2 linked regions of the Kluyveromyces lactis genome follow. The protein of the gene in region 1 interacts with the protein of each later gene in a pairwise test. Links are inferred from orthologs where the notes say so. Each region holds a gene or a part of one and is shown in the gene's direction. Other genes may lie near its edges.

The links.
Region 2: the proteins of RAD9 (region 1) and CHK1 interact in a two-hybrid assay, tested with the Saccharomyces cerevisiae proteins (3 studies listed by BioGRID). The link is inferred for Kluyveromyces lactis from reciprocal best matches to the Saccharomyces cerevisiae genes RAD9 and CHK1.

Annotation. Positions count from the first base shown.
Region 1 is NC_006042.1:1,205,093-1,211,011, reverse strand, and holds RAD9 (chromatin-binding protein RAD9), read left to right. Parts: upstream 1-2,443; coding exon 2,444-5,326; downstream 5,327-5,919. Other genes in the region: septin SPR28, read left to right, coding at 1-424; ADY4 (Ady4p), read right to left, coding at 521-1,615; DNA-binding transcription factor ADR1, read right to left, coding at 5,520-5,919. UniProt on the Saccharomyces cerevisiae protein: Essential for cell cycle arrest at the G2 stage following DNA damage by X-irradiation or inactivation of DNA ligase.
Region 2 is NC_006042.1:118,754-123,998, reverse strand, and holds CHK1 (serine/threonine protein kinase CHK1), read left to right. Parts: upstream 1-2,438; coding exon 2,439-3,998; downstream 3,999-5,245. Other genes in the region: phosphatidic acid-binding protein CHM7, read left to right, coding at 1-722; KLLA0_F01298g (UBX domain-containing protein), read right to left, coding at 830-2,011; DNA-binding protein RIF1, read right to left, coding at 4,054-5,245. UniProt on the Saccharomyces cerevisiae protein: Serine/threonine-protein kinase which is required for checkpoint-mediated cell cycle arrest and activation of DNA repair in response to the presence of DNA damage or unreplicated DNA.

The DNA of each region.
Region 1 (5,919 bases):
TACAGCTTGCTGTAGAATCAGGGATATGTTACCATTTTCGATAATTGGTAGTAATGAAGTTGAAGTCTCACCAAATGGAGAACTGTTTCACGTGAGAAGGTACTCCTGGGGAACTGTAAAAGTGGAAAATAGGGCTCATTGTGATTTCATTTATTTGAAGAACATTCTATTAGGATCTCATCTTCAAGATTTGAAAGATACAACGCACAATAAGCTATATGAAAATTACAGAACGCAAAAGCTTTTAGCTGGCAACAACTATCCGTCAAATAATGATGAAAGAGATATTCTTGCAGAAAGTACTGTTCTAGAGCATCAACTTAATCATAAATCAAAAGAGATCAATGAGGAAATACGTGGCTACAGTTCTAAACGTCTTGATGAATTGAATAGTAATTTTGTAAAAGAAACTATTTCAACTTAATCGATTCGATTTATTAACACTGCTTCCCACTAATATATAGATAGAAGACTTGGTGTTACATATATAACAAAAATTATATAAAAGTGTACTTTTGCTTTATCTTTCATTGAGCTGTCGCCAAAATTCTATGAAGTTATTGGTACCATTTTCGCCCATTTCAACATTATCACGTTCATAATCAGACCCACGAACTTTTCGTTTCAACTTCTCTGCTTCTTTCGAATAAGTATGTCGGTTTGATAAGACGGGATCGAATTCAGAGTCGACTATTACTTCATTGGTAGACAACCGGATTAGGACACTTGGTAAAAGCTTGAGATGTTGATGATTCTGTGCAACTGACTCAATTATATTCACAAAGGTACCAGAAAGCGAAAAATTAGCATAATCAGTGACAAAGTGCTGTTCATTTATGGATTTTGCACACTGGTAGAACTCACCATAGAAGTAGTTGAAAGTAGCTAAGTCAACTTTATTCACAAAAAATAAACCCATCAATATTTTGTGGAAACATACAAGCCTTTTAGGGTCATCGAATGGGAAATGAACTGCAGCTAGCATGTAATGACGGATCATATAAGTGGAAAAAACTGTTTGCGGTATTATCACAGTAGTCTTAACATCATGTGCGTGCTCATAGTCTAATACTTTCCCATCGAGTAGCGCAATAAATTCATAGATTTCTGCACATATCTTGAAATACTCCGCAGTCATATGCTTATTCTGGATGTCCTGTTGTGCAGATATTACACTGCTTGAATTTTCCAATATTGTGTATAATATGCCTTTGAACATGTCCAAACGATTCACCCTAACCGAATTGAAGGACACGTATTTTACCCTTTTCCCTTGATTAAAATCTAAATTCAAACATTTTGCCAGATAAAGTGAAGTTTGTCGAATTATCCATGTTATCCGAGACGAGGAAAGGTCTGATCGCTTCTCACTGTGACGCTTATTTTTAGAGACTGAAATGAACTGTAGAATCCAGCGGAAAGAGAAAAAAGCGGTCCCATATTCTTCATCTAGAAGCTCGAAGAATGCTTGAATAATTCTGAAGTTGATGATAATGTTTGTCTTCCATCTAAGAACAAAATGATCATCTGCATATCTAGCACATAGATTATCCGACATATAATTTGCATCCACTGTAAAATCAATATCGGGATTGTGATCAAGAATACCCTGCATTATAGAAATGATACGCTGTTTGCTAATATTACCATTTTGGAATCGTTCTTTCACAAGATTTAAGGGAATGAACGAGAGTATGATATCCACAAAGTCGTCCCATACTTCCGTTGAATCTTTGATTAGTTGCTTGGCTTCAAGCGTCTTGAGACATTTTTCCAATAACGACTCAAAACAAAGTAGAACATCAACATATGAACCTAATAGTAGATGACATTAGAGTTAGTATTTACCATTCAATCGTTATCATTGTTAGCTTTCATTTAATAATGTCACTTACCATTACATTTCGAATTTTTGTCGGTCATGATATCACAGTTATTGTTGCCGACTAAAGGGTGCTAATCACGAGAAGCAAAATTATGCTTGCTTAAGGCGAGGATCATAAAAGCTACACCTCTTGTGTTGGTATATATCGTTTGTGCCAACAACCAAAAAATGCATTCTAAAAGGTTCACTTCATGTGTGTCTGACACCCATCGATAGAAAATATCATACTTTTCCTTAGAAGAACCGAAAATCAATTCCTAGAATAGCAAACCTGCAACCAGTGCTATACTAGCAACTCATATACTAATACCCTGAAGAGATGCGACCGGCTATGGATACATAATAATAAAACTCACACATCGCACAGTTGACTCTTTAATGTCTTAGTCTTTAACAACTACAAATGTAATATTGACAGAAAATCATAAACCAAAACAAGAAAGTTTACAGTATGTAACGCACAACTAACAAAAGTTATTAAACATTCGATAAAAATACGGAGCCAAAATATCACTTCATTCTGAACCATCAATATCAGTATCTGCTGTTTCATATGGTATGACAGGAGACGAAGAAGACAGTGGTATTACCAAAGAGACTCCCAATTACAGTCCAGATCGAAAACAGCTATCGAACAAGATAGAGTCTACTTCCTCAGATGAAATAGTGTTAAAAGAAAATACAAGCACCCGAACGCTCACGGGAATTAACAAGGCTATAAAGGCTTTGGGTAATACTGCTCTCAATTTAAATCCAACGAATAAATCCCTGTTAGAAGACACACCTGAGGGAAATCGAGATCTCGAGATTAGACGAAGAATTGATATCCAATCAAAGACTGATGTATTGCAACGATTTCAGGAGAAAGACTTGAATATCGAAGTGGAATTACCGTTTGATTTGACTCAAACTAAAGGTATTCTTTTGAATAACAATGACACATATCAACCTGAATTATTAGACACGCCATTAAAGAATAAGATATCGATTCGCTCACTTAGGAATGCTAAAGGTGAAGTGAAGGCAGCTTCAGAACCGATCAGCTTGATTGAAAATATCAACTCGTCCCCAGAGGGGCATCCACAACCATTTATAATGACACTGAAGGATGCAGATAATGGTAATATCTTGGGTGATATTGACACTCAAAATGTAACTCAAACATCTAATGAAATGTTAGTACCTGCAACGAATTCAGCTAATGTAAGTCAAACACAAGAAATCAGGTCTACATTGGCCGATGAAAAGATGACTCAGCTAATTAGAACTCAGTCTAATAACCTCGATGTCTCAGAGAGCTTATTGAAACTAGATGAACAGTCTGCACTTCAAGAGACATCAATAGTGCATACATCTCCAATCAATTTTGGCTCATTTCATCACAGTCTTCTTCCTTCTACCAGAACTATATTGACACAAAAGGAAACAGGTTCTAATTTCAACGAAGAAATCCAGTTGGTTCATTCTCCAGCGGTCGTTAATCTCCGACCCATGCAGCAGGCCTCCAATAAATCACCTTCAACAGTATTTAGTGAAGAAGAAAGAGAAGAAGAAAAAGAAGATCAGGAAGTAGCCAAATGTCACTCGTCTATTGAGATGAACAATGAATCTTCTCAGAAGGAACAAACAGATGAAAACTCGAGTGAAATGAAGTTTAAACTCACATATTATGTCAAACCATCCAGTCAGATATCCGACGAGGATGAACAAATTGGGGGTGTCCGGAATGATGCTACCGATTTGAACCAACGTAAACACAATGAACATAATCCTACGAATGATGTCTCAAGAGAGCTCTCGAGACTGGATACAGATCAGGAATATGAACAAACTCAGGAACTACCTGAAATTTTCGAACGCAATGAGTGCAAGCACAAACCGTCATTTGAGTCACAAGAACAACTTAATGTATCCAAGAAACGGAAAAACAAGCAGCTAATATTAGAAGAAGAATTTGAAGATAGTAGTACACCAAGTAAAATGACACAATTTACAGCTTTCACTGAAGGTGTCTACCTGCCGAAAGAACTTCGTATATCAGATGAAATGCAGTTGACTAAAAAAGATGTTTTATTCAATAATGCGGTCTGGTATTATTTTAATGATTGCAATTTTTATCCTGGTAAGATACTTTCCGAACAGCGTACGAAGCCTGGGTATTGCTCCGTTCTTTTCGAGAAACGTCAAAATGATGTTAGGGTGGAAGACATTTACTATTTAGATATTAGATGTGGAGATAAAGTCCACTGGAAGATGAATGAATATCAAGTCGTAGCTTTAGATTGCCAGATCCCACAAAAAGAAGATGTCATTCGATGCATTAGAGGATATGATACGGTGCATTTAAGAAAGGTACTGAGAAACGGAAGACTCAGCAAGAATGATATTGTAGATACCATTGCATCCATATACGTTACCACCGGGGAGTGGATCAAACGAACCAAAATAAAACTGGAAGATGAAGACAATGATCCTTTGGATGAATTGAGACGTTCTGTTAGAAGTCGATCAGTGAGGGATTCTATTTCTCCTATGAAGAAAACCGCTCAAGATTATAACAAGTCAACTTCAGAGATTTTCAGAGACACTTTCTATGATACTACTATAATGAGTGGATTAGAAGGACAGGGAGGTTCTGTTTTCGAAAAGTGCATCTTTGTATTGAGTGGACTTAATGATATGGATAGAAAAAGGTTATCTTATCTAATCGAGATACAAGGAGGATATGTCTCCAGCGTAGGGTTTGAAAGTCTGTTAAGATATGAAGACAGATCAAGAGAGTTTAGTTGGAACAATCCACGTTTTAACAGTTACCGTTTTGGTTGTCTTATTGCGGGAAACTTTTCAAGAAGTCCGAAGTATTTAGAAGCATTGGCTTTGGGATGGCCTGTACTACATTGGAGGTTTATTGAGTCATGCATAAACAAAGGTTATATCTCGACTCAAACGATACTACAAAATCTTTTGCCGAGCGGAGAAAGTAACAGGTTGATGGCTGACTTCAATCTAGGTATTATCAAATCAAGCAATGTTTTTAGTTTCCTGACAAACTTCAATAGCAGTTTGACTTTAGATGCACAACTAAACAATGCCAGAGTAGTTTTGGAAGATTACTCGATATTGATTTTAGGAGACTCCGATATGAATTTTTTCGTGGACTTCATTTTCCAGGTGTTTAAAGTTGGTCATTGGGAATACACGAAAAACTTGAAGTTGAAACCACAGCAAGAGTTGGACGATGATCTGTTCGACCAACTTGTAGAATTTCGGCATAATTACCACAGTAAGAAGATGATACTTTTCATCAACGAGACGTCTTTGCAGAACTCATCCGACTGGGAAAATAGCATTTCTAAAAGGTTCCTGATGGAGGGTATAAATGATTTTAGGATCAAAAATAAGGAATGGCTGGTTCAGACCGTAATTAATGAAGAGGCGTAATAAAAGTGTATCACAGTAAGAGTACAATAATTGACCCGACTGATAGAAAGTAGAATAAATAAGAGTTACATTATATTCTCGGGATTAACAAATACTGTTCAATTATTTATAAATAGTATACTATAGGAATTTTTTTTGGTCATTTCGTGAGATCTCATACATCAAAAAGCTGTTTAATTAAATATTACGGTAGTCATAGGGAATTCGGATTGAAGTAGTAATCTCCAGGAGGAGTGTTTGAGTTTGGCAAATTCAGCATGTTAACAAAAGAATGAGTGTGATCGTTGACAGGATTATTGTTGCTTCCAAAGAGATGGGTTCCTTCATTGAAAATAATATTCGTAATTTTGCGTTGATTGTCTAATTTTGACTGAAGAGTGTTAATTATGTCAATGAAATTTGTCAATAATGAACCATGTACATGTGATTCATATATCAAGAGGAAAGAGCATTTGGCAACCTGTAACAATTTGTCTGATAGATGATAACGGTCATAAAATCCCTGTCTTGTTCTAGCACCATTCTGTTTACATAGATCGTGGTGCCTTAGTAAGTTTATTGATGACTTGCTGGGTCCTGGAGCTGGTTCAGCG
Region 2 (5,245 bases), about 1.1 Mb from region 1:
TTAAGATTATCTCTCCGTTGTTGAGTGCGAGCCCCCAGGTAGCGTCCAAAGAAGTATCTGAAGAAGATATTTGTGTTGCCAATATTAATGAATATGTATTCACTGCGGAAACGGAGATAAAATCGGCACAAAAGGTGCTAGATCTTACTACCAAACGGCTGACAAGCGCTATTTCATCGGGTCTTTCTCAAGAGATTAAGAGAACACTTCTTAGGTTGAAAAAACGCTCAGAAAAGAACTTGGAACAAGCTTACACGAGTTTAGAATCTCTTAGGAAACTCCAAGATGAAATATCCAATGCTTCACAAAATGTGGTTATGATTAATCTTTTAAAACAAGGCAGTACCGCTTTGAAGGCTATCAATTCACAACTTTTAGATGAAGATTCTATTTCAAACATATTAGATGATTTCCAAGAAAATACAGAGAAGCAAGACCGTATTCATAATTTGTTAGTAGGAGAGTCGGTTTCCGACAATGATGCTCTTGAAGAAGAATTGTCACTGTTAGAGAAGGAGCTATCAACAGAGGATACAAAAGAGAAGGAGAAAAAGAAGATCGAAGAACAAAAATCTGCAGCACCTTTGGAATCTGGCTCAACAGAAGATTTGATAAAGAAACTTGGATCCTTGAGGGTATCGAGCAGGGACTCTCCTCGTGCAGAGAAGACGGAAGTGAAGGAACCGAAAAAGGAAGAGATGACCGAGAAACTGTTGGCCTAATTCTTCCGATAAGAGTGATTGCTCATATTTGGTATTAATATGTATATTTAATTCGTTCATGCATACATATGATATTTAACATAAAGGCGATTCATAAATCAGGTGTGCTATCTGCTGTTGTCGTCTGAGACATGGCCGTAATGTATAGAAGATGGAGAGACAGCTCTTGAGGGTATCGATGCATCAGAGTGTACCAGACGAGGGGAAGATAAGGGAGAAACATATCTAGATGAAGCTTGAGATGTTAATGCTTCAGCAGGTTCAGGAATATTTTGATCAACAACCGTTGATTTACCGTACCACCAGGACGTCACGTTCTGATACATTTTCCCAAGCAAACCTGGTCCTTCTACATCTGCAATCTTACGAGAATATGTATGCTTTTCCAAAGGCTTCAAGATTAATGCAGATCTTGGAGTAAGCTCCAGAGCTTTCAAAGATAGTAATTCTTGTGATTCTGTGAAAGTTTCACGTGGAATACTTCGATGGAACTGGTACGGACCATCCTTATCTGTCCTATTGGCATCCACCCAAGTCCTTACATCGTTTAAAGTTTGAGACGAATCGAAATCGTTTTTCAATGTCTTACCGTCTGTTAATCTTATAAGCAAGGTGCACACTGCTGCGTTTATTATATCTCTGTTTTTAATATTATCGTGAATGGGTACAGCCAATACTTCATTGATGTGTTCCTTAGTATGATTTGGAGATGATGACGATAATCTTCGTTGCTTCATTTCTTCACGGTCCGCTTTCATCAATCTAACAATACGTTCTCTTTCCTGTTGTTCTGTCAACTGGTGCTTCTTGGCCTTTATTTGGTACTCCATCAATTTCGCATTTTGTGACAGACAGCTACCGGACCTGGCGCCGGTATCACCAGCGGCACCAACGGTATTGGATGCATCAACGGCATCCGTTTCAGAGATTCTCCTCTTGCTTTTACCAACTGCCCGGATCAACCTAGTAGCAAATCCGTCCATGTCCAACTGATCTGGATTTATCATCTCCACTATTTGTCCCTTAGCAATACAATAAACGCTAGGAACCTTCACATCCGGGAATATTTGCTCAAAGTAACCCATTTCCCTGCTTCCAGCAGCTAAACGTAACCAAACGCACGAATCCTTCAACTGCTCCCCTACAAGTGGTGTAAACCACGACTCAAACCACGAATTATCTCCGCCCGTAGTATAAACCAATAACGCCTTGTTCTCTCGCAATGATTCTTGTACCGCATTTTCCACAGAGGAAACAAAATGCGTATCCAGTGTATCCATCGTATTCATATTTGCCTAATCTTACACTTACCACTCCTAAAAAGCTCACCACTGCTTCGTTGCTTCTATCAACAGTATCGGATTTGTTTATTGTTCACTGATTAAACTATAAACGTAGTAAAACCCCTTTCAATGTACGTTTTTATAAATGCAAAGAAATGACAGAAACTAATGACTATCGCAGATCTGATCAGAAAAGAAAAACAATAGTTTTATGATGATACTTATGGGGAAAACGGGATTTATATACGAGTCTCCGACGTGTTATCCTAGGTAAATCACTTGGGGTTCAGTTAGGACGGTTGGATGATATTTTGAGCACATCAGTTGCGTAAATATTGAATGTGCGTTTGGCTGATATAGCTGGAGATTTCTGAGATACGAACCGACAAGAACAAAAAAGAAGTAAAAGAAGAACACTTCGATTGATGTATTGATGAGCTTTTCACAGATAGCTCAGCTCCCTCATATTGATGGATTACAACTAGGAAGAACAATTGGGAAGGGCTCCTTTGCCTTTGTGAAGAGAGCTAGTTTAGAAGTTGATCCGTCCACTGTAATTGCTGTCAAATTCATACATCTTCCTTCATGTGAGAAACAAGGTATGAGTCAGGAAGATGTGTTGAGGGAAGTTAAGTTACATTCTAGATGCTCTAATTTTGTTAATGTGCTAAAGGTTATAGATTGCAATCTTTCTGATCCGTTTCTTTGGATAGCCATGGAACTGGCTGAAGGTGGTGATCTTTTCGATAAAATCGAACCTGACATTGGAGTCGACTCGGAAGTCGCCCAATTCTATTATAAACAACTTATAAAAGCTATAAGTTATCTGCATGATACCTGTGGTGTTGCCCATAGGGATATCAAGCCGGAAAATATCCTATTGGATAAAGATGGGAATTTAAAACTTGCAGATTTTGGGCTAGCATCGCTGTTCAAGAGAAAAGATGGATCAAAACGTATTTCTAGAGATCAACGAGGAAGTCTTCCCTACATGGCACCGGAAATAATATACTGTGATGGGTACTATGCTGATATGACAGATATTTGGTCCATTGGTGTTCTATTATTCGTTTTGTTGACTGGAGAAACGCCTTGGGAACTTCCTCACGAGGACGATGAAACGTTTAGAAACTTTATTAAAGGCGAAGGAAAGCTAGATCAGGGATCTTGGCTGAAGATAGATTTCGTTGAATTGAATCTCTTGAGAAAAATATTACAACCAGATCCAGAGAAAAGAGCTTCTTTGGATACTTTACGGAAACATACATGGTATCAAACAAATCCGAAATTTGCAGATGAAAATGGCCTTTGTAAAAATCCTTCTTTGCTTGCAGAAAAATTACTATCAAAGCTTAAAGTTTCTCTATCAGATGCCGATTATTTATCTTCTACGCAGGAAGTGTTTGCCAATCAACATGCAAAGATGTCGTTCACCCAACCTCTCAATCGTGAGCTTGCACATATAGATAGTTTACCGGCTAATTTGCGAAACGGCTACTCTGCCACTCAAAAGGTTACATGCAGCACGAATTTTTCAAGTGAAAGGGAATTAATGACGCAGGAGCCATTTTCAACCAAGAGAATCCAAGAAGATCTCGCTTCCTTGCAGTTTAATATTAATGATATGAAGCTAATGCCTAACTTTTCATCTGACAGGCTAACTAAATTTTTCTCTACTGATGATATTAGTGTAATCCTCTCAGACCTAGAGAATGCTTTGGTTGCATATGGTGTTAGAGTGAGTAGAAATCTTCACGATAATTTCTTGGAACTGAAACGGCAGATCGGAGAGAGTAACCCCTATCCTGTGTCTATACAGCTCAAAACATATGATAGAAATAAGCTCCCACTTTCAGGATCTCTAGTCATCATGCAGTTGGAAGGTGATCTGAAATCCGTTACTTTTGAAAGGAAACGGGGTGACCCGTTAGAATGGAGACGCTTTTTCAAAAGAATAACTGTATTCTGTAGAGATATTGTTTACGTAAATTGATCATTCCGAGAAATATTTTTGTTATGGATAGGAAAAATCTGACTGCAACATGTCCTTAATCTTCTAAGTTTAACATAAAATTATACATTACCTTTCTCAAAAGCTTCTTATCGTTGTTGCTTAAAGACTTCACATCATCAATATCGACATCATTTAAACTTGAAACAATTCGCATAATTTTTTTTGTATGATGCTGTCCTTCACAATTTGCACTTGCAACATCACCAGCTGAGTTCATCAGTTCTAAAGACCGCTTCCCTGATATATAGGTATCGCCTTTCGAAGCAAGATCCTCTTCGAGTTTGATAACATCAGTAAAGAAAGGATTAAAAATTGGTATCTTCAGAGGCAGCCCAGATGGGGAGTTAACGCTTGTCACTGTATCAAGGTTCTTAGATATCTCATCATTATTTGCAACACCTGGCAGACATTCGCTGACTTCAGTGCTGCTATCTTTAATAGAAGGCGTTTGTTTTTCCATTTCCCCTGATGAAACTTGTGACACTGCATTCTGCGTTGTTTCTGCTTCAAGCTTTTCGGATTGTACACTAGCAGCCATTTTTACTGGTTCATTGTCATTAGAATTTTGTATAGGCTCAACGACTTTTTGGCACCCCGTTCGAATTAGCTCATCTGAAGTTTCCGAAAGTGTTTGCAGCGGAACTTCAAGCTCTTCGGAGGAAGTTACCTTAGTTTCGATAACAGATAATGTAGATAAAGGAAAAATATTTGTATTATCTTGCTGTTCATTATGTTGCAGCGTCTCACGATCTGATACCTTTTTATTTTCCTTTGGAGGGATGAATTTGTATTGTCGAGTCGAGTTTCTTTTTGCATTGGCTTTGAACACATTAAGCTTTTTCAACAGAGTCTTATTACCTTGTATCTTGAAATCAGGATGATTTAAAAAGAGCACTATTAGTGAAGTTCCATATTGTTTTTCCTTCGCAGACTTCATGATATTAACTACATATTTCATAATATCAGTGAGAATTTTTGGATTGCTTCCAACGAAGTAGTCCACAATAGCAGGAAAGATTCCTTTCAATCTTTCTTTGTCATCAGCTGATAATTGTTGCTTTATATCAAATATGAAACTGAGTAACTCCTCCGTTATTATATCAAATACCTGATATTTTGTCTGTTTTAATAGCTGCTCCATTAAATCGATAACGTAAGAGGGATTTAGATTCTTAAAACTATCCCTGAGGAAATCGATAAGATCCGAATTGAGTTTGCCACTTTCA